3 linked regions of the Sus scrofa genome follow. The protein of the gene in region 3 purifies or fractionates together with the protein of the main gene of each other region. This does not show direct contact. Links are inferred from orthologs where the notes say so. Each region holds a gene or a part of one and is shown on either strand. Other genes may lie near its edges.

The links. Proteins that work in one complex are often made in the same cells at the same time.
Region 1: the proteins of RABGGTA (region 3) and CHML purify together in Homo sapiens (co-immunoprecipitation; 3 studies listed by BioGRID and IntAct, counting the BioPlex papers as one, with this or other methods). This does not show direct contact. The link is inferred for Sus scrofa from reciprocal best matches to the Homo sapiens genes RABGGTA and CHML.
Region 2: the proteins of RABGGTA (region 3) and CHM purify together in Homo sapiens (co-immunoprecipitation; 4 studies listed by BioGRID and IntAct, counting the BioPlex papers as one, with this or other methods). This does not show direct contact. The link is inferred for Sus scrofa from reciprocal best matches to the Homo sapiens genes RABGGTA and CHM.

The regions. Positions count from the first base shown.
Region 1 is NC_010452.4:11,833,245-11,840,081, forward strand, and holds the start of CHML (rab proteins geranylgeranyltransferase component A 2), read left to right. Parts: upstream 1-2,227; 5' UTR 2,228-2,622; intron 2,623-5,699; 5' UTR 5,700-6,024; coding exon 6,025-6,837. UniProt on the Homo sapiens protein: Substrate-binding subunit (component A) of the Rab geranylgeranyltransferase (GGTase) complex. Binds unprenylated Rab proteins and presents the substrate peptide to the catalytic component B.
Region 2 is NC_010461.5:69,061,675-69,068,609, forward strand, and holds the start of CHM (rab proteins geranylgeranyltransferase component A 1), read right to left. Parts: upstream 4,611-6,935; 5' UTR 4,576-4,610; coding exon 4,527-4,575; intron 1-4,526. UniProt on the Homo sapiens protein: Substrate-binding subunit of the Rab geranylgeranyltransferase (GGTase) complex.
Region 3 is NC_010449.5:75,020,029-75,026,757, forward strand, and holds the start of RABGGTA (geranylgeranyl transferase type-2 subunit alpha), read left to right. Parts: upstream 1-2,099; 5' UTR 2,100-2,144; coding exon 2,145-2,147; intron 2,148-2,307; coding exon 2,308-2,418; intron 2,419-2,788; coding exon 2,789-2,913; intron 2,914-3,098; coding exon 3,099-3,286; intron 3,287-3,547; coding exon 3,548-3,751; intron 3,752-4,072; coding exon 4,073-4,156; intron 4,157-4,240; coding exon 4,241-4,323; intron 4,324-4,413; coding exon 4,414-4,515; intron 4,516-4,623; coding exon 4,624-4,729; intron 4,730-4,824; coding exon 4,825-4,876; intron 4,877-5,049; coding exon 5,050-5,138; intron 5,139-5,280; coding exon 5,281-5,369; intron 5,370-5,460; coding exon 5,461-5,577; intron 5,578-6,212; coding exon 6,213-6,326; intron 6,327-6,595; coding exon 6,596-6,683; intron 6,684-6,729. UniProt on the Homo sapiens protein: Catalyzes the transfer of a geranylgeranyl moiety from geranylgeranyl diphosphate to both cysteines of Rab proteins with the C-terminal sequence -XXCC, -XCXC and -CCXX, such as RAB1A, RAB3A, RAB5A and RAB7A.

The DNA.
Region 1 (6,837 bases), on a different chromosome or scaffold from region 3:
TGGTAGGGAAATGGGAAGAGCTGTGTGTGCTGTTCCCTCCACACTCATCCCCCTCCCTTACCCCCCAGAGGTTCTCCAGGCCACAGCAGGCTCCGTTTTGGACGGTTAACAGGTGTTTTCCATGAGTTTTTACATTTCAATATTACAACGCTGTGGAATTTATATGCCTTAACAGTGACCAGAAAGGCTTTGAGAACTAAGATGTCAACCAAGGGCACTGAAGAACAGCTGGAAAAAGATATTGGAGATCAAGTTCATTTCACTTGCACCTACCGAGTCCAGCTCACTCAGTAAACTGGTTACATCTGCACGCTTCTCCTACTTTAACAGAATGAGATGCAGGCACAATCTGAAAATGCTTTTTATTGTGGCAAAATATGCAGAACATAAAATTTATCATCTCAGTCATTTTAAGTGAGCAGTTCAGTGGCATAATCAACTATCTACCTGTGCTACCATCCCCGCTCTTCATTTCCAGAACTTTGACAACCTCCCGAACTGAAGCTCTGTACCCGTGAACCGCTAACTCCCCATCCCGCCCTCCCCGCAGCCCTGAACTATTCTACATTCTGTCATTAAGAATTTGCCTATTCTCAGTCCCTCACAGAAGCGGAATCATATATTTGTCCTTTTGTGTCTGGCTTATTTCACTTAGCATAATGTTTTCAAGATTTATCTATGTTGCAGCACGTATTAGAATTTCATTTCTTTTTATGATGGAATAATATTCATTGTATGTACATATCGCATTTTGTGTATCCATTTTTCTGTGGATGGACATTTGGTTTATTTCCACCGTTTGGCTATTGGGAATACTACTACTATGAACACTGGTGGACAAAATCATGTTCCAGCCCCTGCTTTCAATTAATTCTTTTGGCTATATATCTAGAAGCAGAATGGCTGGATCATACGATAAATCCATGTTTTTTGAGCCACTGCAGTCACAGTGGCTGCATCCTGTTGAGCCACAACAGGAGCTCCTGTCTTATTTTCTTTATGGCACATTTCACAACACTACATATTTGATTATCATCTGTTCTCCCAACACGACTGGAACATAAGCTTTATGAGGACAGGAACTCAGCACCAATGAAAGAATGAATGAATACCTTGGGAAAAAACACAGAGTCCCTCTTCATTTAAGCATGCATCAAACTACTATTTATTAAGACCTTACTGTAGACTAGGCACATGTTGTAAACACAACGGATATTAGGCACAGAGCTTGTTAAATGGTTGTATAAATCTAAAATATAAAATTAGAGTTTTTAAAAGGACTGGGTGGGTGAGTCCCCTAGAGGACAAGTCCAGATCGGAAGCCTTAAGAAAAAATCACCAGCTATTGCTCCATGCACCATGATAGGAAGTAACCTTGTCTTGACAATTAGATTATATCTCCAAGGCCCACAAAACCGGGGTTCAGTGAAGCTAGCAATTTTCTAGGGATCTTCTAATGGAGGTGGGAGACACACTCCCTCGTGGAGGGCAGTTCCTTCGCCCTTGCACAGGCACAGTGCTGGCCAGCGGCGCCCAGGACAGCCTGTAGGACCAGCTCAGGACTGTGCACCCCGCAAAGACTACGGTCAGTTCCGGGACCTATGCTTGCCTTGCCCTCTATTTTCACTGGGTAAAAGGCCAGAGGTGCTGCCCCAGGTATAGCACCCACCTCTCTGCAACTGCGAGATGTGGGCTGGAGCTCGAGGGCGCCGCCTCAGTCGCCACAGCGCCCCTGCATGGAGGACAGCAAGGGCAAAATGAGCAGGCCTGGGGTGCAGCCGGGGCTTACCTCAAGTGTGCAGTACGCGAGCGGGTAGTAACAGCTTCCCGGAGAGGGAGAAGCCAAAGGATCCTGCCATAAATGGTCCTTAATGAGGGAGTGAGTGGGGAAAGAGGAGAGCCCTTCCAGCTGGGTGAGGAGGGCTGCGGAGAGAGGAGCCCCCGGCGATGCTTTGCCTCCAGGCCCCCACGGACTGTGCCGGCGGTGGCGGGTTACTGGGGACCTCAGGGCGTGGGGAGAGGACCCGGCGAATCAGGAAGCAGCTTGGACAGCGAGCAGGGGAGGGGTTAAGGTTGGGAGGTGCTCCGGGGCGGGGCTACAGGGCGCTAGGGGGCGGGGTTACGGCTGGGAGGGGCGTAGGGGCGGGGCTACAGGGAGGGAAAGGGCGGGGTTACGGTAGGGAGGGGGTAGGGGCGGGGCTACAGGGCGGGAAGGGGCGGGGTTACGAGCGGCGTCAGCGGTCTGCGCAGGGGCAGAAAGGGGCGACGGGGACCTCTGAGTGCGCAGAGCCCCGCGCAGAGCCCCAACCAGAGCGGTGCGCGCCGGCGCCTGGCGTGCACACCCAGAGAGGTGGCGGGGCGGCGAGGGCGCCGTGGGGCCCTCACGCCGCCTATCGGGGCGACTACGGGTGCGGGGCACTGCTGCGCCGGAAGCATCCTGCTGCTGCTCGTCCTCTACTTCAAATTCCAGCGGCTCCGCAGCCCCGCTTCGCCGGGCGCCCCCTGCTCATCGTTAGCCTCCGCCACCTGCTGCCTTCCGTTCTCGCGGCCGCGGTGGCTTTCGCGCCCCACAGAGGGGCGGCGCGGATGGTGCGTGAGACGGCTTCATCAGCAGCCTGTAGGGTGAGTGCCGGCGGAGACCGCCTCCTTCTGCGCCCCGACCTAGAGGCTGTGCTCTCCTGACCTCGCCTCCCCCGCCTCGACATCTCTTCCTCCGGCCTCCCCGCCTCACTTCATCCGCTCCCAGACCTCACTCCCTCCACCGGTCCTCCTCGCTCGCTGATCTCCGCCCCTCCCCGTGCTCCCAGGCCCCTCGCCCACCCAGACCCCAGCCTGCTGCCGCAGCTCCTCAATCACCTGCTCGGGAGCTCATCTCACTTGTCTGCTTTCACCTCCTGATTTAATTCAGTAGGGCCCGAGACAGTGGTTTTGACACTTTGAGGAAAGAAACGAGAGGGTGAAGTCAAGAACTTCAAGAAAAAAAGTGGTAGTATTTGTGAAACTTGGAGAGGGTGATGAGAAGTGATTTAATTCATATATTATTTTGCTAAAATGAGAGGTAGAAATCTGACATAGCAACAATGTGTAAATTTTTTTTTAAAATGCTCATTATCAGTTGTAAACCTTTGCTTTCTAGGAAGTGAAATAGTTTTATTCAGGTCCTCAGAATGCAAATTGTGCTCTATAAGCTATTTTTACTATATTTTCCTCCTTATAGGTTCCACCACACCAAAATATAAGGCGAGATTGCAAAAATGGCTCAGAGAACCCCTACTGAAATGGACAGATAATTAGCTATGCAGCCAGTAGATTTCATTAAACTAGAACTTGATCGTTAATTGAAATTTTTTATTTTTTTATTTTTTTGTCTTTTTGCTATTTTTTGGGCCGCTCCCGCGGCACATGGAGGTTCCCAGGCTAGGGGTCTAATCGGAGCTGCAGCCACCGGCCTACGCCAGAGCCACAGCAACGTGGGATCCGAGCCGCGTCTGCAACACCACAGTTCATGGCAACTCCGGATCGTTAACCCACTGAGCAAGGGCAGGGATCGAACCCGCAACCTCATGGTTCCTAGTCGGATTCGTTAACCACTGCGCCATGACGAGAACTCCCTGAAATTTTTTAAAAAACTACTCTTACTCCTATTGAAGATTTAAATCTCACTGAGATTGACATTTCAAAGGACGAGCTACCCAACGTGTCATTGAAGATGTGATTTTTCCAAGCTTGGGAAAGAAACTATTTTTGTGTGTGTGGTCCAGAAGTTTCACTTATACAAAGATTTGAAATAGAAATGTATATTTCTCAGGTCGTAAGTTTCCTTTTAAAAAGTCCTAAAATCCCTAATAATTTATTACTGCTTTTATCTTAACAGGTTTAGAAGAGCAAAACCTTTGTAGCATTATCAAAATATTGATAATCACTAACCTATGTGGTAACAAACTCAAATATTATGTATGTTATGATTCCTTAATACATACCTACATATATATTTTTTTTTTTCTTTTTTCCCTTTTTATAGCTGCACCTGTGGCCTATGGAAGTTCCCAGGTTAGGGGTTGAATCAGAGCTGCAGCTGCCAGCCTACATCACAGCCAGGCAATACTGGATCCAAGCCTCATCTGCGACCAGCACCACAGCTTGCAGCGTTGCCAGATCCTTAACCCACTGAGCCAGGCCAGGGATTGAATCCGCATCCTCACAGACACTACGTCCAGCTCTTAACCTGCTGAGCCACAATGGGAAGCCCTCTTTTTTTATATTTTGCAGGAAACAAGAAAATGTCGTAGAAATCATAATTTCACTTATTTGATGGCCTCAGTGATTCTGATATTCTAATAATACCAACCCTTTCCCAATAAACATTAATCTGAGAACTTCAACTATATAAGACTTGAAACCTGGGAGGAAGCTATAGGTGTGTGTAGGTGTTGCTATAGATGCAGTAGATTGCACTCTTTATATTAATGTCTGATGCCTGCCGGCAGTGTTCAGGCAAGGCTGAGGTTTAAAGAGGGCCGTTCATGCAGAGCCTGACATATCCTCAGTGGCAGATACTGGGTCACAGACGTGAAAGTTCTGATCTACAAGAAAGACTTTGTGCTGGTAAATTCTGTTTCTATTCCAGCTCCGTGCCCGGGAGCTTGGAGACGAGTGTATTGGGGTCTTTATTGGTACCAACGTCCCCCTCTTCCTCATCCGTTCCATCTTGCAGCCCCACCCTGATGTGTCTCCTCGTCTTTTCCATCCTTTTTCTCTCTCTCATCATCCCTGCTCTGGTCCCACCCCAATCAGAAGGAATTTTCTAAGCCAACTAGAAAATTGTGGCTCGCTGGTAACAAACCTGACTAGTATCCATGAGGATGCAGGTTCAATCCCTGGCCTTGCTCACTGGGTTAAGGATCCAGCGTTGCCGTGAGCTGTGGTGTAGGCTGGCAGCTGCAGCTCCAATTCAACCCCTAGCCTGGGGACTTCCATATGCCACAGGTACAGCTCTAAAAAGCAAAAAAAAAAAAAAAAAAGGCATTTTAACATACAGACCCAGGCCTTTACCTTTTTTACTTACATCTAAAAAATACACGTATGAGGATTTGTATACATACATTTTCCTTTTGATAGACCAGTTGTTTCATGTACCTAAATATTTTTAAATGCTACTTGTTTTATTGAAATTAATCCTTTTGTAATTATCTGAGCGGCGAAGTCAATTGAAATAGTCCCATGTTGCTACCACGAGATCCTAAAGGCAGGTGGGATAAAGAAAAGCCTTCCATTCATCTGTCCTAGAATGACCCGTAGACCGTGTTGGCCGTAAAAATATTCCTCATCGTGACAGTGTGCGCAGAGTACGTAGTCGGTGTCCATAAACACAGTGGAGCCACAAGTTCCTTTAATCTCACAGTTGTGTGTCATTCACATGCTTAGCAAAAGTTACGAAATTATGTCAGTTTTTCTTTATTCTTGTTGGATGTTATTATGTCCATTCTTCATTGTTGAATTGCCTAATTTGGTGAAATGGCTATCTTTTGTTCATTTTCAGGAAATTAGGAAACATGAGGAAGCATTTAAGGACTTGATTTAGTAGAGGTTTATGTCCTGATTACACGTCTGGCTCCACTGGTTGTACTTGCTGTTGCATGAAGTTACTTTCTCTCAATACTGTTGACCACAGTGTTCTTTCTTGAATTTTCTGCTTTCAGAGAAGGGTTCCAGTCACAAAAGCACGTGTGACACGTTGTGACATTCGCTGCTAAGACGAAACGCCGACGTGAGATCCATATACTTGCTGTAGTGTTCTCAGGTGTGATTGGATGTACTTCAGCAGGGTTTTATGCTGCTGACCTGTAAGGAAAAAAAGATATTAAAAAGGGTAACAAACACCCAGGACCTGTACCCTCGGCACTCTGGGGTGATCTGGAACAGTACAAGGTGTTCCAGCATCTTTGCACCTCGTCTGAGCCCTCAGCCTAGACTCATGCACATTTCCTTCCCTGGAAGTTGTCACCAGATGTCTGATGTTCCAGGATGGCCAGCAGTCTCCCAGCAGAGTTTGATGTGATCGTGTTAGGGACCGGTTTGCCTGAATCCATCCTTGCAGCTGCATGTTCCAGAAGTGGTCGTCGGGTTCTGCATCTCGATTCAAGAAGTTACTATGGAGGAAACTGGGCTAGTTTCAGCTTTTCAGGATTGCTCTCCTGGGTGAAGGAATATCAGCAAAGCAGTGACCCTGAGGAAGAAAGTCCTGCTTCATGGCAAGACCTGATCCATGAAACAGAAGAAGCCGTCGCTCTTCGAAGGAAGGATGAAACCATTCAACACCCAGAAGTTTTTTGTTACGCCAGTCAGGATGTGGATGACAATCCTGAAGAGATTGATGTTCTGCAGAAAAATCTTTCCTGGGTGGCACCTGGCACCCTCATTAAACCTCAGGACTCTGCAAGCTTGTCTGGAGAAACACCCTCGTACGTCACTGGCTCTGAAACGCCTGCCAAAGACACTCCAGAAAACGGTGGAGAAATGACTGATAGATCAGAAACCCTGGTGACGGAAGAATATGGTGGAGGTGAAACCTGTAAACACACAGTTTCAGATGGCACTAAAGATGGCATCAGACCTGTATTGGAAGACCACGGCAATCCGCCAAAGAGGAAGAGGATTACCTACGCTCAAATAGTGAAAGAAAGCAGGAGGTTTAATATTGATTTGGTATCAAAACTGCTTTATTCTCAGGGATTGCTGATTGATCTTTTAATCAAATCCAATGTTAGTCGTTACGCAGAATTTAAAAATGTCACCAGGATTCTTGCGTTTCGAGAAGGCAAAGTGGAACAGGTGCCT
Region 2 (6,935 bases), on a different chromosome or scaffold from region 3:
CTTAACCAGGCCGGGGATCGAGCCAGCACCTCCACTGAGACAAGATTCTTAACCCACTGTGCCACAGAAGGACATCCAAGAAAATGTTTTTTTAATGAGAAATTCTGATAGAAAAACTTCTGAAGTATATTAAACACTGACTTGAACTCTTAAAAGAATTGTACAGAATTTAGCCTTTTCTCAAGGATCCAGGGTCCTAACTATGCACACACAATGAAAAAATTTTAGAGCTAGTACATGCCTACCTTAGAGTTCACCAATCAGGTCTCTCACTTTACAGATGAACAAATTGATGTCCCAAGAGTTTTGGGGACGATTTGCACAAAGCCACCCAGTAGGAAAGTCAAGTGATTCCCATTATGCCATGCTGCCGTATCTTATTACTGTATTATGCTGCAGCATGATCCAGGGAGGTAGTCAGGATTTAGGAGCAATACCCCTTGTAATTTCCCCCATGCTTATTATTTTTGTTATGTCATTTCTTTCCCCACAATCTTTAGCAATAAAACTCTTAAAGCAAAAGGATCTATGTGTTCATCCTCTGAAGGAAAAATGTTGAGTTAGTCTACTCCACAGCCCATTTAGGGGAAGAACTCCAAACATAGTATGTATGGTGGACTTTAGAAAGGAAAGGGAGGCAGGGAGTTCTCTTATGGCTCAGCAGGTTAAGGATCTGGCACTGTCACTGCAGTGGTTTGGATCACTGCTGTGGGGCAGGTTTGATACCTTGCCTAGGAACTTCTACATGTGTGGGCTCAGTGGGAAAAAAAAAAAGAAAGAAAGGAAAGAGATGCAGAATAATTCTCTATATGGTCTTCAGAAAGCAAGAAGGATGCAATGAAAAGCTCACATTGACTTAGAACGGCTCTGAGGATATCAGGAACCTCAAACAGATCCTCAGAATAGGCAATACAGTAAATATCACAAGGGCCAGGACTAGGTTCTCAGTCAATATGGACTGAATACCCTACAAAAAATGAGCGTCTGTCACTACACTAAATGGTCCCAGGCCACTGTACATTCTGATGTAGGTTTGCCTTTCAGTTGTCTCTCTCCTTACCCGTAAGGATATGAACTAACCCTTATGTCTAATGACACCCCCACACACACAGAGCTTTTGCAGAAGTTGATAACATTTCCTATATCTTAATAGGATGCTTCTAATATGCTCTGAGTATGCTAGAATTATTTCTAAAATAAGAATGAATATATTCTAAGTGAGAGAAGGAGGGATTCCCCTATGTAAGAAACATGCCAATATTATCACCTAACTCTTGTAACTTCCATCTTGCCTGCCCTTCTATTGATGGCTCTGCTGCAGATTACAGATTATACAGGTTGCCAGATAAGTTACCTCCAGAGAGGTGTTATGTTATTAGGACTATTTTTAACCTGTAACCAATGATACTTCTCTGTAACCCACAAAATTATCATTCAAATAAATGTCTTTTTAAATGGCAAAATGTCAAAAATGACAACTGTGCACCCAAACTGAAGGCCCTTTTCTAGACACATCACTGCATCCATTATTGTTCTCTCCTTTGAGACTCCTTTTGGCCCTCCTTTCTTATTCCATTTGCTTCCATATTTTCCATTTCGAGTACTTTATCTTATTCCTCTGCCTTTGGGTACCTGAGAGATATTTCCTGTATTTTGTAATCAGAGGGTTACTTAACAAGAGAATATATACAAAGCTTTATTTTCCCATAATTTCTTCAAAACATAATCTTAAAGAAAATGTTTTATTATGAAGAATGAAAATATAAATTAATCAAGGTCAAAGGGATTTATAATATTAACTATAGATTATTTTACTTGATGAAGCAATTGTCTCAACATTTTAACTAGAACTAAATCTGTTTTTAGTTCTTTTTCTCTTAAAACTGCATCTCATTGCCTATTTCTTCATGTTTCTAATACAGGCATGATTAATTCCACTTTTGTTAATACAACTGAATCTTTAAAATACTACTTTTTCTATGATTTACTCAAGCAAGCACATTTAGTAAGGCAAAACATTTTATTTATTTATTTTATGTATTTATATTTATTACATTTTATTTTTCTTTTTTTAGGGTCACATTTGTGGCATATGGAAATTCCTGGGCTAGAAGTCAAATTGGAGTTGCAGCTGCCAACCTATGCCACAGCTACAGCAATAGAAGATCCAAGCTGCGTCTGTGACCTACAGCTCACTGCACCGCCAGATCCTTAATCCCCTGAGGGAGGCCAGGGGAGGAACCCATATCCTGGATACTAGTCCTGTTTTTAACCTTCTGAGCCACAACGGAAATTCCCCACGCAAAACATTTTAAAGGCTACTTTCAGCAAACTATTTTGGAAGATAAATATTCCAAACACATTAAAATAATTCTTGTTAATTAATGACTGGGGTTACTGGATTCATTTATTTGGGAAATGACTTTTACCCAATTTTTCCACTTTGACATACCTAAAAATAAAGCTACATATCATAAATTTGAGTAATGTACTTGATAAAAATGTGTTCATTAAGTGATATGAAAAACTTTTAACTTCAAATAAGTTTTCCCCATACTTTGAGAAATAACTTTACTCTCATGGAAATAAGTCTAAGATGAATCTTTTCCCAAATATCCAGGATGCCTCCTAATGCAATTTTCTGGATCAGTCACAGAATCTTCCTAACTCTCTTATTTTATGAGATTCCAACAGGATGGATGTAGTCCATATTATAAACTGAACTAGATGGCAAAATATTTCTTATATAAGAATTAACAGCACTTAATAATAAGAATTAGCACTCATCAATTAAAATTTTAATCAAGATAAGAAAAAAATCGCAAGGACTCAAGGTAATTTTTAAAACACCCTAAGTTCTGAGGTAGCAACAACAAAAAAGGGAGTAACATAGGACCCAAGTATGGATAACAACTATTCTAAAGCAGATGTTGTTCCAAGTTTTAGGATAGACTGGAGAGAATAGAGTCTAACTGAACCCTTCCAGCTCTCATCCAACATCTGTTCATAGCAGCTACAGCAAGGTTATCTGTAGCCATGCGGTGTTCAGGTTGAGAATAAATATGTCCTTGCTGTTTTGAGAACAATTACCCATGTACAAGAATAAGAGAATTTTTAGTTAGACAACACCTGAAAGGCTATCCAGTAAAGCCTTCCTATATTCAAAAACAAGGAAACTGAGACTCAGAGAGATTAAGTGCCTAGCTCTAGAAATTCACACAGCTAGTTAATGGCCAAGCAGGGTCTAGAACCAAGTTTTTCCAATTATTTCTATTCATATGGGTTAACTCTGAGGGTCAGAACCACTTATTCTCATTCTGGGATGGAATGGGCCTTTGGAAATTTACCAGTTGTGTGATCTTATGCAAACTGCGATCTCTCCAAGCCTTTTCCCCTCCTCTGTAAAGTGTAGATAAGACCTATTCTAACTAGGTTGTTGTGAGGATTACATATGGCTTGTAAAGTGCTTAGCACATCAATTAGCCAGTAATACACAATCGAAAATAGACAGTTTTATTATTTTTACTCCCGACCTGGAAACATGGCCACTCCTACTATTTGAGAAGACAATGAACTGAATTCATTAACACAATGGACAGGGTCTCATACACCAGAGCTTCTCCAGCCTACCACGTTCTGCAGACAGGAGAAAACCCCTCCCTACAAACTATTTCACTCCATCTAAAATCCATCCTTTACATTGTTAAAAACAATACATGAACTGCTGCCAAATGTTTTCTGCCACATGCTGTAACGTGTAATTTGTCAACTAGAAATTGAAGGGGAAGTTCTGTCACCACCCAAAACATGGAGAATAAACGATGGGGAAGAAAAGGGGGAAGATAAGATCACACACCTGAACTGGACACGCTTGTTCTCAGCTAATTTAGCTGTGGGTAGATAAGTGAGTGGTAGAAAACAAAACGCTTTCTTTCAGCACCATAAAGCAGGAATAATGGCTACCTCAAAAAATTACAACCCCCTAGGATTCTCAAGACAATAGAAAAGAATCCATTTCCTCGCTTTAGTAAATTAAAACGTACATGGGCAACAACTAACACGCTGTATCCGGGCTGCACTGCACCCTAAAACTTTATAAATATATGAAAAATTCCTACGAATGGCGAGACAAAATGATGGGGAGGATCACCTTGAAATCCACAAGAAGGAAATCATAATGTCATGCCAAAGGTGTCTCCATTGATAAAATCCCAACCCTCCATTCTCATGACACTGTACACCCACCTCCCTCTAAGGAAATTACAGGAATCACCCGCAGCAACCAACCTCGGCAATCGGCATCGACCAGATCGACCCCTACTCAAATGGCGCTAAGCACAGCCGGTCCAAGCCCCTCCCTGGAGCTGCCAAGTCCCGCGCTGACTCCAGACTACCTCACTTCCTTTCCGTCCTCCCTCTTATGCTCGACCCCCAACATTTCTCGCCGACCCTTGCCACTGACAGAGAGGGTAGGAACGGGAAAGACTTCCTACAGTTTGTCCAGGGAGTACCATAGCCACACATACCCGTCCCTATTACGATCACATCAAACTCCGAGGGGAGATTTTCCGCCATCTTGACAGGAAATGTGTCATGTGACTATTGCTAGGTGGAAATGAGATCAAGTTAGGCTTTGCAGAGGCAGAAGGCGGAAGGGGAAACAGTGCATTCTGGGTATTGTAGTTCTCGAGTGGCAGGTCCAGGTAGAAAGCTACAGCGTTATAGTTGAAATGTTTTACACGAGTGTTAAAAGCTGTATTCATTTTTCGGGCTAAGTGCAGTCGCGACTTTAGCCTGGAGTTTTGAGACACAAAAGAGATTTTTACTCTGACGGCTAGGATGAATGTGGGAAAACCTGGGAACCCCATGACACTGATGAAGCAAGAATTGTTAGGAGACAGGGAGGGCACAGTGAAATTGAAAGGGGATTGCTCTGTGAACAAAGGAAATTTTAATTCCAACCTGGAAACTGTTGCTTCCATCTTGTCTCTACTTTCGTTTTGGCCCCCCAGGCATAATTTTTCACACCAATACCTTCAAACTCTATCTGTTATCTTTTTGTCTTTAGGTCGCCCAAATGAAAAGCCACAAAAAAATTTTCACCCTAGTTTCGGCAGACTGGAACTCTCACTGCGTCTGTATTTGTTTTAGTTAGTCTAAACAGCCAACCTGGCAATATATATTTGCAAAATTAGTCTTGCTTTACAGAAGGAAAAAAAGATATGAAGGCATAGTAGTTGCTTCCTAGGCATTGATTGATTCTGAATATGGTTTTACATATATATATATATATATATATATATATATATACAGGAGTTCATACAAGATTCCCCCAGTAAGGTACCGCCTAAATGATCAAGGTAAAGTGAACATATATATATATATATATATGCCTTTTTCTTTTTTTTTTTTTTTTTTTAGGGCCGCACCTGCAGCATATGGAGGTTCCCAAACTAGGGATTGAATAGAAGCTACAGCTGCTGGCCTAAGCCACAGCCACAGCAGTGCAGGTTCTCAGAGGCAGCTACGACCTATACCACAGCTCATGGCAACACCAGATCCTTAACTCCCTGAGCGAAACCAGGGATCCAACCGACAACCTCATGATTACTAGTCGGATTCGTTTCCACTGCGCCACAATGGGGACTCCACAATGGACTTTCTGTTAAAGTGATTGTATTTGATGAGGGGGCTTAGATTGCCTGTGCCAAGCAGCTAATGCAACTCTCATAGGTATTTTGAAGTTTGATCTCCTCCCACCTGCATCCCATTTCCGTTATTTAAAATGCTTTGCTGTCTGACAATACCAAAGAAAAAAGAGAGGGAGAGGGTGCATGGAGTGAGAAAGGATACTTCTTTAATTCCAGAAATTCATTGTATAGTTGTTTTACAAGAGTGTCAAAATCATTCAGAGAATGCGATGGTGGGCCTTCCCTTAAACCACCGGACTGACCTCTGTGTTGTTTATGGTTCTTCAGTCACACTTTGTTCCTTCAGCATGGAATGATCTTCCCATTCTCTGGCTAACATTTATCCCCAAGATTCAGTGCTGCTTCTACCACCACCTCCTTACATCTCCTCCCTATACTGGGTTACATTTCCCTTCCCTACCACTTGGTCATAACCTCCCACATTGCACTGAAAATTATTGGCATTTATGTTGGGTCCTATACAGGACACACATGCCCCAAAATATACACCCAGGTATACAAAACCCTAAATTATAAGCCCCTACGTGACAGGGATTGTCCCCTATTTCTCTTTTTACCCCCTGCATCTAAAATAACTCTCGTGTGTAGTAGGAATTCAATAGTGTTTGCTGAACTGAGCTTGGTTCTAATAGATGGTAAGTACTGTGGAGACAAGAACTGAGTCTACACTTTTTTTTTTTTTTTGTCTTTTTGTCGGGCCACACCTGCAGCACATGGAGGTTCCCAGGCTAGGGGTCGAATCAGAGCTGTAGCCGCCGGCCTACGCCAGAGCCTAGCAACGCCAGATCCGAGCCACATCTGCGACCTGCAGCACAGCTCACTGCCACGCTGGATCCTTAACCCACTGGGGAAGGCCAGGCATTGAACCCGCAACCTCATGGCTCCTAGTCGGATTCATTAACCACTGAGCCACGGTGGGAACTCTGAGTCTACACTTTTATATCTGCCCATCATCAGCATGTGTCTTATATTTTGATGATACTCAATAGTTATCTTGAGTTCCATAAAAATTCTTTAATACTGTATTTTATTGGATTGTTTTGCTGCATTTTTTGTGTTTTTGCCATATCAATAGTAATATTATACATGTTGTATAAACATCTTTTATGGATTCTCTTGTTGTTTTGATCAATTCTCTTGCCATAGGGTCCTCTCATAAATATTTTGTGTAATAGAGATTACTCTGAAAAGTGAAATGTATTGTTCAGTAAATCACTCTGCCAT
Region 3 (6,729 bases):
CAGATCTGCACTGTGGGCAATCTGACAGAGGGTCTGTGGGAATATGGTTTCAATCTTGGCCTCACTCAATGGGTTAAGGATCTGGTGTTGCTGCAAGCTGTGGTGTAGATCACAGATGTGGCTCAGATTCTGCATTGCCGTGGCTATGGTATAGGCCAGCAGCTGCAGCTCCAATTTGACCCCTAGCCTGGGAACTTCCATATGCTGCAGGTGTGGCCCTGAAAAGAAAAAAAATTAAAAAAAGATAAAAGGAGTTATTCTGGCAAAGGAAGGGCTGTGGAAGAAAAAGAATAAAGAAGAGGGAACAGACTAGATGCCTGGGAAACTGCAAGTCCTTCTATCAGCTGTAATGAAGGGTTTTTAACAGGGACAGGCAGGACATGACACCCGAGGGGCAAGCAAGTCCCATGTGCCAAGAATCTTGATGTGCTGACCTGAGACGTTCAAAGTCTTTCCTAAAAAGTTGTCAGGAGCCATGGAAGGGTTTTAGGCAGAGATGTAACATGACTGAATTTACATTTCGGAAAGACTGATTCAGCAGCACAGGGATGAACTGATAAAAGAGGGGACAGGATGGAGATGGGGGAACACTGAAAAGACTTTCAACAATCCCAGGAATAAATATGCTTAAGTTTTTAATGTAGTGGGAATGGAAGGATACTAAAGAAATGTTGGGGGGGGTCATCCACTAAAATAGGAAACATAAAGGCTAAAGTTTAGACTGGAAGGGGAGACAGTAATATCTCTCAACTTTTGGAGTTTGATGGGACAACTAGGTGCTACCTAATAAGCTTGTGAATGTGTGTTTGTGTGTATATTTTTTTCTAATATTAAAGTTTGCAAGACATCTGGGCTGGAGACATGTTTGAATGTCATCAAACTTACAGGTAGAAATTAAAACCACGACTGTGGATGAAGTCACCCAGGGAAATTGTGGGTCAGAAGTTCTGTGGACCCAGGATAGAACTCTGGGGAGCTCCAGCTCCAAGCAGTTGAAGACTTGGGTCTGTGAACATTCTCCCGGGAAGGTGTTCAAAATGGAAAGGAGTGAGGGAAGGGCCCTGGAAACCCACATTTAGGGGAGGAGAAAGTTAACAGATGAGAAGGGGAGGGCAAGTGTGCAGGAGAAGCCAGGACAGGGGGTCCGAGGGAGGTCAGTTGCATCAAATGCTGCAAAAGTCTCCTGCTGTCTAGTACTAGGAACTCTATCTAGTCACTTATGATGGAGCATGATGGAGCATAATGTGAGAAAAAGGAATGTATATGTGTACGTGTGACTGGGTCACCTTGCTGTACAGTAGAAAATTGACAGAACACTGTAAACCAGCTATAGTGGAAAAAATAAAAATCATTTATAGAATAAAATAAAACCATGACCAGAAAAGTGGTTAAAAACAACAACAACAACAAATGATGCAAAAGTCAATGAAAGACAGGAAAGCCCATCCCTTAGATTTGGCAACTAAGAGGTGTACAGTGCGGCCAGAGTGAGGTCAAGCGAGCGATAACGGCGTGGGCTTCCGGCTGGTGGCGAAAACTTTTCAACTGAAACACACTTTGAAGAGCTGCCGGGAAGTGCAGACCGCACTGCTTTCGCACCAGCGGCCTAACAGACTGAGACTTGGCGTTTCCGGACTGCCGGCTCCGCCGCAGGCCCTTCGCCAGGCCTGCAGAGGGCGCTGCGCTTCAGAGAGCCGAGGCGTGACGCCGCTCTAGCCAACGTTTGGGCTCGCTGGCGGGCGCCGCATCTCTGCGTTCCGCAGTCCTCCTCGCAGTACAGGTGGGTCCGCGCGCAGGGGGCGGCGGTGCTTGCGAGCTATGGGGCAGGCGGGTAGCGGCACCCATTGGGTGGGGAGTTGTCCCGATCACTTAAGTGCGGCAGATTGGGTCCAGCCCCAGCGGATCGGACTCTGGATAGGGCCGCACGGGTGCAAGCCCCAGTTCGGTGGGTGCCTTTTGGACTTGCAGTGCCTGTCCCAGGACCCCTTATTACCCCAGAGGTCTCCGCCCAGGCTCGCGTGCGACTTCCTGGGGACAGCTAGGGGCGGGGCTCCCAGGGGCGGGGTTCCCATGATTGACACTTCTTTCCTCAGATTTCACGGGCGCTCCTGGACCCTCCCCTGCCCTGAACCTGAGCCAGCACCATGGTGAGAACCCTGAACCTAGCCCCTCTCCTCCGCATGCCCATGCCCACGGCCTTGCCCCGCGTGGCCTTGCCAGATATAAACCTGAGACTCCGCAGTGGGGGTTTGGTGGGTTTGCCCCTGCAAGGCAGCCTGTTCTCGTCCAACCCGCGCATCCCTGTAGCACGGGCGCCTGAAGGTGAAGACATCAGAAGAGCAAGCAGAAGCCAAAAGGCTAGAGCGGGAACAGAAGCTGAAGCTATACCAGACAGCCACCCAGACCGTCTTCCAGAAGGTGGGGCCCTCAGACGTAGCCCCCTCCTGCAGCGGCTCCCTTAGTACAGCACTGAGGCCAAGAGCTGGGCCTTAGAGTCAGACCGCCTGGATCCACATCTGGTTTCTATCACTTAATAGCTGTGTGACCTTAGGCAAACTATTAAATCTCTTTGGACCTCAGTTTGCCCGTCTGTAAAATGGGGCTAATAATTACACTTAAGATTGTTGTTAAAATTAAACGAAAGAATACGAGGAAACCCATATAGTGCTCTGTAGAGTACCTGTTGTATAGTGTGGGATTCACAGAACAGTCTGTAGTTCTATTTATGGTCTTCAGTCCTGTGGTGGGAGATTGATATGATCTCTGACCCTGCTGTCTATCTTCTCAGCGTCAGGCTGGAGAGCTGGATGAGTCAGTGCTGGAACTGACAAGCCAGATTCTGGGAGCCAACCCTGACTTTGCCACACTCTGGAACTGTCGACGGGAGGTGCTTCAGCGGCTGGAGGTCCAGAAGTGCGTAGGGGTTCAGGGCCCAGGGAAGATGGCTCTGGCCTTGCCCCACCTGGGTCCAAGGATAGAGGACGAATGGGGCAGCCGAGGCATAGGCAGAAGGCAGTGGAGGGCTGGGTGCAAAAAGTCAGAGGTGAGCTGAGATTGGGTGTTGGAGGGCCCTGACCCTCATTCCCCTCTGGGTGCAGGTCCCCGGAAGAGTTGGCCGCTTTGGTGAAGGCAGAACTGGGCTTCCTGGAGAGCTGTCTGAGGGTGAACCCCAAGTCTTATGGTACCTGGCACCACCGCTGCTGGTTGCTGGGTCGCCTGCCAGAGCCCAACTGGGCCCGGGAGCTGGAGTTGTGTGCCCGCTTCCTCGAGGTTGATGAGCGGAACTGTACGTGCCTGCAGATTCTGTCCCCACAGGGCTCAATTGCCCCACATCCTGGTACAGCACCTCAGTAAGGCCCAGAGTGGGCAGGGATGGCCTGACAGGCCCAGTGAGCTGATGGCCAAAGGGATGAATGATGGAACCAAATGCATCCTCCGTGGAGTGCGTAGAAGTGTTTCTCAGGGCCTCCAAGGGAACTCCACGGGTACCAACCGGGGAGCTCCTCTGGCCCTGCATCTGAGATGTGCCGTCTGCCCTCCCCTGCAGTTCACTGCTGGGACTACCGGCGGTTTGTGGCCTCCCAGGCAGCTGTCCCCCCCGCGGAGGAGCTAGCCTTCACGGACAGCCTCATCACCCGAAACTTCTCCAACTACTCCTCCTGGCATTACCGCTCCTGCCTCTTGCCCCAGTTGCACCCCCAGCCAGACTCTGGACCCCAGGGGCGCCTCCCTGAGGATGTGCTGCTCAAAGGTAAGCAGAGTCAGGGGGTGCTGTGCAGTGCCGCCTTTCCAGCCCTGATGCCTAGCCCTGTTTCCGAACCTGCCACTGGGTTTACTGAGTACCCACTTTGTGCCTGGCTCTGAGGGTGCACAAGATCCAGCCCCTGGCTGCAGCAAGCTCAGGTGTCCAATGGCAAAGAAAAAAACTGACATATGTAGTAGCCCCTGGGCAAGGCCAGCGTATAAGTGAAACTGAGGGCTGCAGGTTCTCCAAAGAGGAGGTGGGATGTCGGGGTGGCCAGGAGCCCAGCAGGGTCCCAACCACAGCCCCATATCTCCTTGGCCCCCACAGAGCTGGAGCTGGTGCAGAACGCCTTCTTCACTGACCCCAACGATCAGAGTGCCTGGTTCTACCATCGCTGGCTCCTGGGACGAGGTGAGCAGTGGGGAAAGAGGCTTAGTGATTAGAGCTTGGAACAAATGGAAGAATATATAAGGAAGCCTGTTGTCTCCCTTGCAGCTGATCCCCAGGATGCCCTGCGCTGCCTGCACGTGAGCCGGGATGAGGCCTGTCTGACTGTCTCCTTCTCCCGGCCCCTCCTAGTGAGTCTTGCACCCTTTACCGGAGAACATCGTAGATTGGGGGCCTGGTGCTGTTGGAGTGATGGGTCTCTCATTTGTCCTCTGTGCCAGGTGGGCCCCAGCACGGAGACCTTGCTGCTCATGGTTAATGAGTCACCCCTGTCCGTGGAGTGGAGGACCCCAGATGGCAGGAACCGGCCTAGCCATGTCTGGGTATCCCAGGAGTGGTGGGGCAGAGTTGGGGGTGCTGGGGCAGGGTTGGGATAGGACAGTCAGAAAAGTGGGTGCAGCCTGGGCTTTTCCTTAACGTCATGCTCCCAGCTCTGTGACCTGCCTGCCGCCTCCCTCAACGACCATTTGCCGCAACATACGTTTCGTGTCATTTGGACAGCAGGCAATGCCCAGAAGGAGTGTGTGCTCTTAAAAGGTGACACAGCCTGCAGCTTCCACCTCTCGCAGCAGCCCCCCACTCCTCTCCTCCTCTCATGGGTGTCCCCTCCTTCCACCTACTCTTTCTCTCAGGCCGCCAAGAGGGCTGGTGCCGAGACTCAGCCACAGATGAACAGCTCTTCAGGTGATGACAGGGAACATACAGACAAGGAGCAAGGCTCTGGACTCTGGGCATCAGGCAGCTGGGGCGGGGGGGCTGAGGGCTTAAGCAGATGGTCTTGGCCTGGATACTAGGGAGGACTGGTGCCCAGGGCTGTTTGTGGGCATCACCCCCTCCCCCACTTCCTCCACCCTCAGGTGTGAGCTGTCAGTGGAGAAGTCCACGGTGCTGCAGTCTGAGCTGGAATCCTGTAAGGAGCTGCAGGAGCTGGAGCCTGAGAATAAATGTGAGGTCCAATTCCCTGAGATCCTGCTCCTCCAGGGAGGCCCTTTTCTGGGGGCCCCTTGGGGAGAGCAGGGCAGCTCTCCAGAGGATGGGAGCAGAGGAGGATCCAAGGGAGACCATCCTCTTCCCTGCCATCTCCCCAGGGTGCCTGCTCACCATCATCTTGCTGATGCGGGCGCTGGACCCCCTGCTGTATGAGAAGGAGACGCTGCAGTACTTCCAGACCCTCAAGGCAAGTCTGGCCTGTGGAAACCGGTGTAGGGCAGCCCCAATGGGCAGGAGGGCTGCTGACACGCGTTCCCTGTCGGCCCCCTCCCTGCCAGGCAGTGGACCCGATGCGGGCCGCGTACCTGGATGACCTGCGCAGCAAGTTCCTGCTGGAGAACAGCGTGCTCAAGATGGAGTACGCGGACGTGCGCGTGCTGCATCTGGGTCACAAGGTAGGGACTGCGCATGTGCCTTCCTGGCCAGCCCTCTTCCTCACCTCCCAGCTGGCTGGCTTTGATGTCCACTCCCTGGGCTTCGGCTGAGACCCTCACCAGCTCCTGGCTCTGTCTTCAGTCTCAGGTACCTTTCTGGATTCGTCTTCCTCAGCTCATCCCCATGCTTCTCTCCCTGGAGCAGGCACCAACCCCAAAGCCTGGATAGATTCCAGAGATTTCTGACGAACTTTCCAGATTCTTTTTTTCCTCTCTTTGTAGTCCTTCCCAATCAGTCTTCCCGACATAGCAGATCTGTCCCATCACTGCTGCCCACCTTCGCTCCCACCAAAGCAATCCCCCAGACTTACCCGGCCTGCACCTGCCAGGGTCTGTGTCTATCCCAGCACCCTCCTCCACCCCTGTATCTGCCCCCTCCCTCCGCTCTGCTGGCCACCCCAGCCCCAGCTGCACTCACATCTGTCCTTTGTCCTTGACATAGCCAGGGGGTGTGAGGTAAGCTCCCTACCTGCCCCATCCTGTGCTCAGCTGGCATCCCCAGGGGCTTATGTGGGGCACACAGGGCAAGTGCCCAATAAATGGTGGCTGAGGACTTTCCTCCAGGTCTCGCTGGGTGTCTCATCCCCCCTCTTCAGGATCTGACGGTGCTCTGCCATCTGGAACAGCTGCTTTTGGTCACTCACCTTGACCTGTCACACAATCGTCTCCGAGCGCTACCGCCAGCCCTGGCTGCCCTGCGCTGCCTCGAGGTAACGCACTCACTCCTCTGTCACTGTCCTGGATGGTCCTTTCCCACTTCCTCCACCTCTGAAGTCTGCCCACCCTACAAAGAGATGCCCAGGTGCTCCCAGTTCCCACAGATGATTCCTGTCCTGCCCTCTGTTAGCCAGTCCGACCCCAGGAACCCCTCCAGACATTGTAAGCTGATCACCCTGGGCTCCCTGGTGGCTTGTACCAATCCCAGACTGACAGCTGCCTGCCCTGCCTTGCCTTCCCGACCCCCTCCCCTGCTCCCCAGGTGCTGCAGGCCAATGATAATGCTATCGAGTCCCTGGACGGTGTCACTAACCTGCCCCGGCTGCAGGAGCTCTCCCTGTGCAACAACCGTATCCTTCCTTTGGGGTTTCTTTCAGGCAGCAGCTAGGGGGAAGT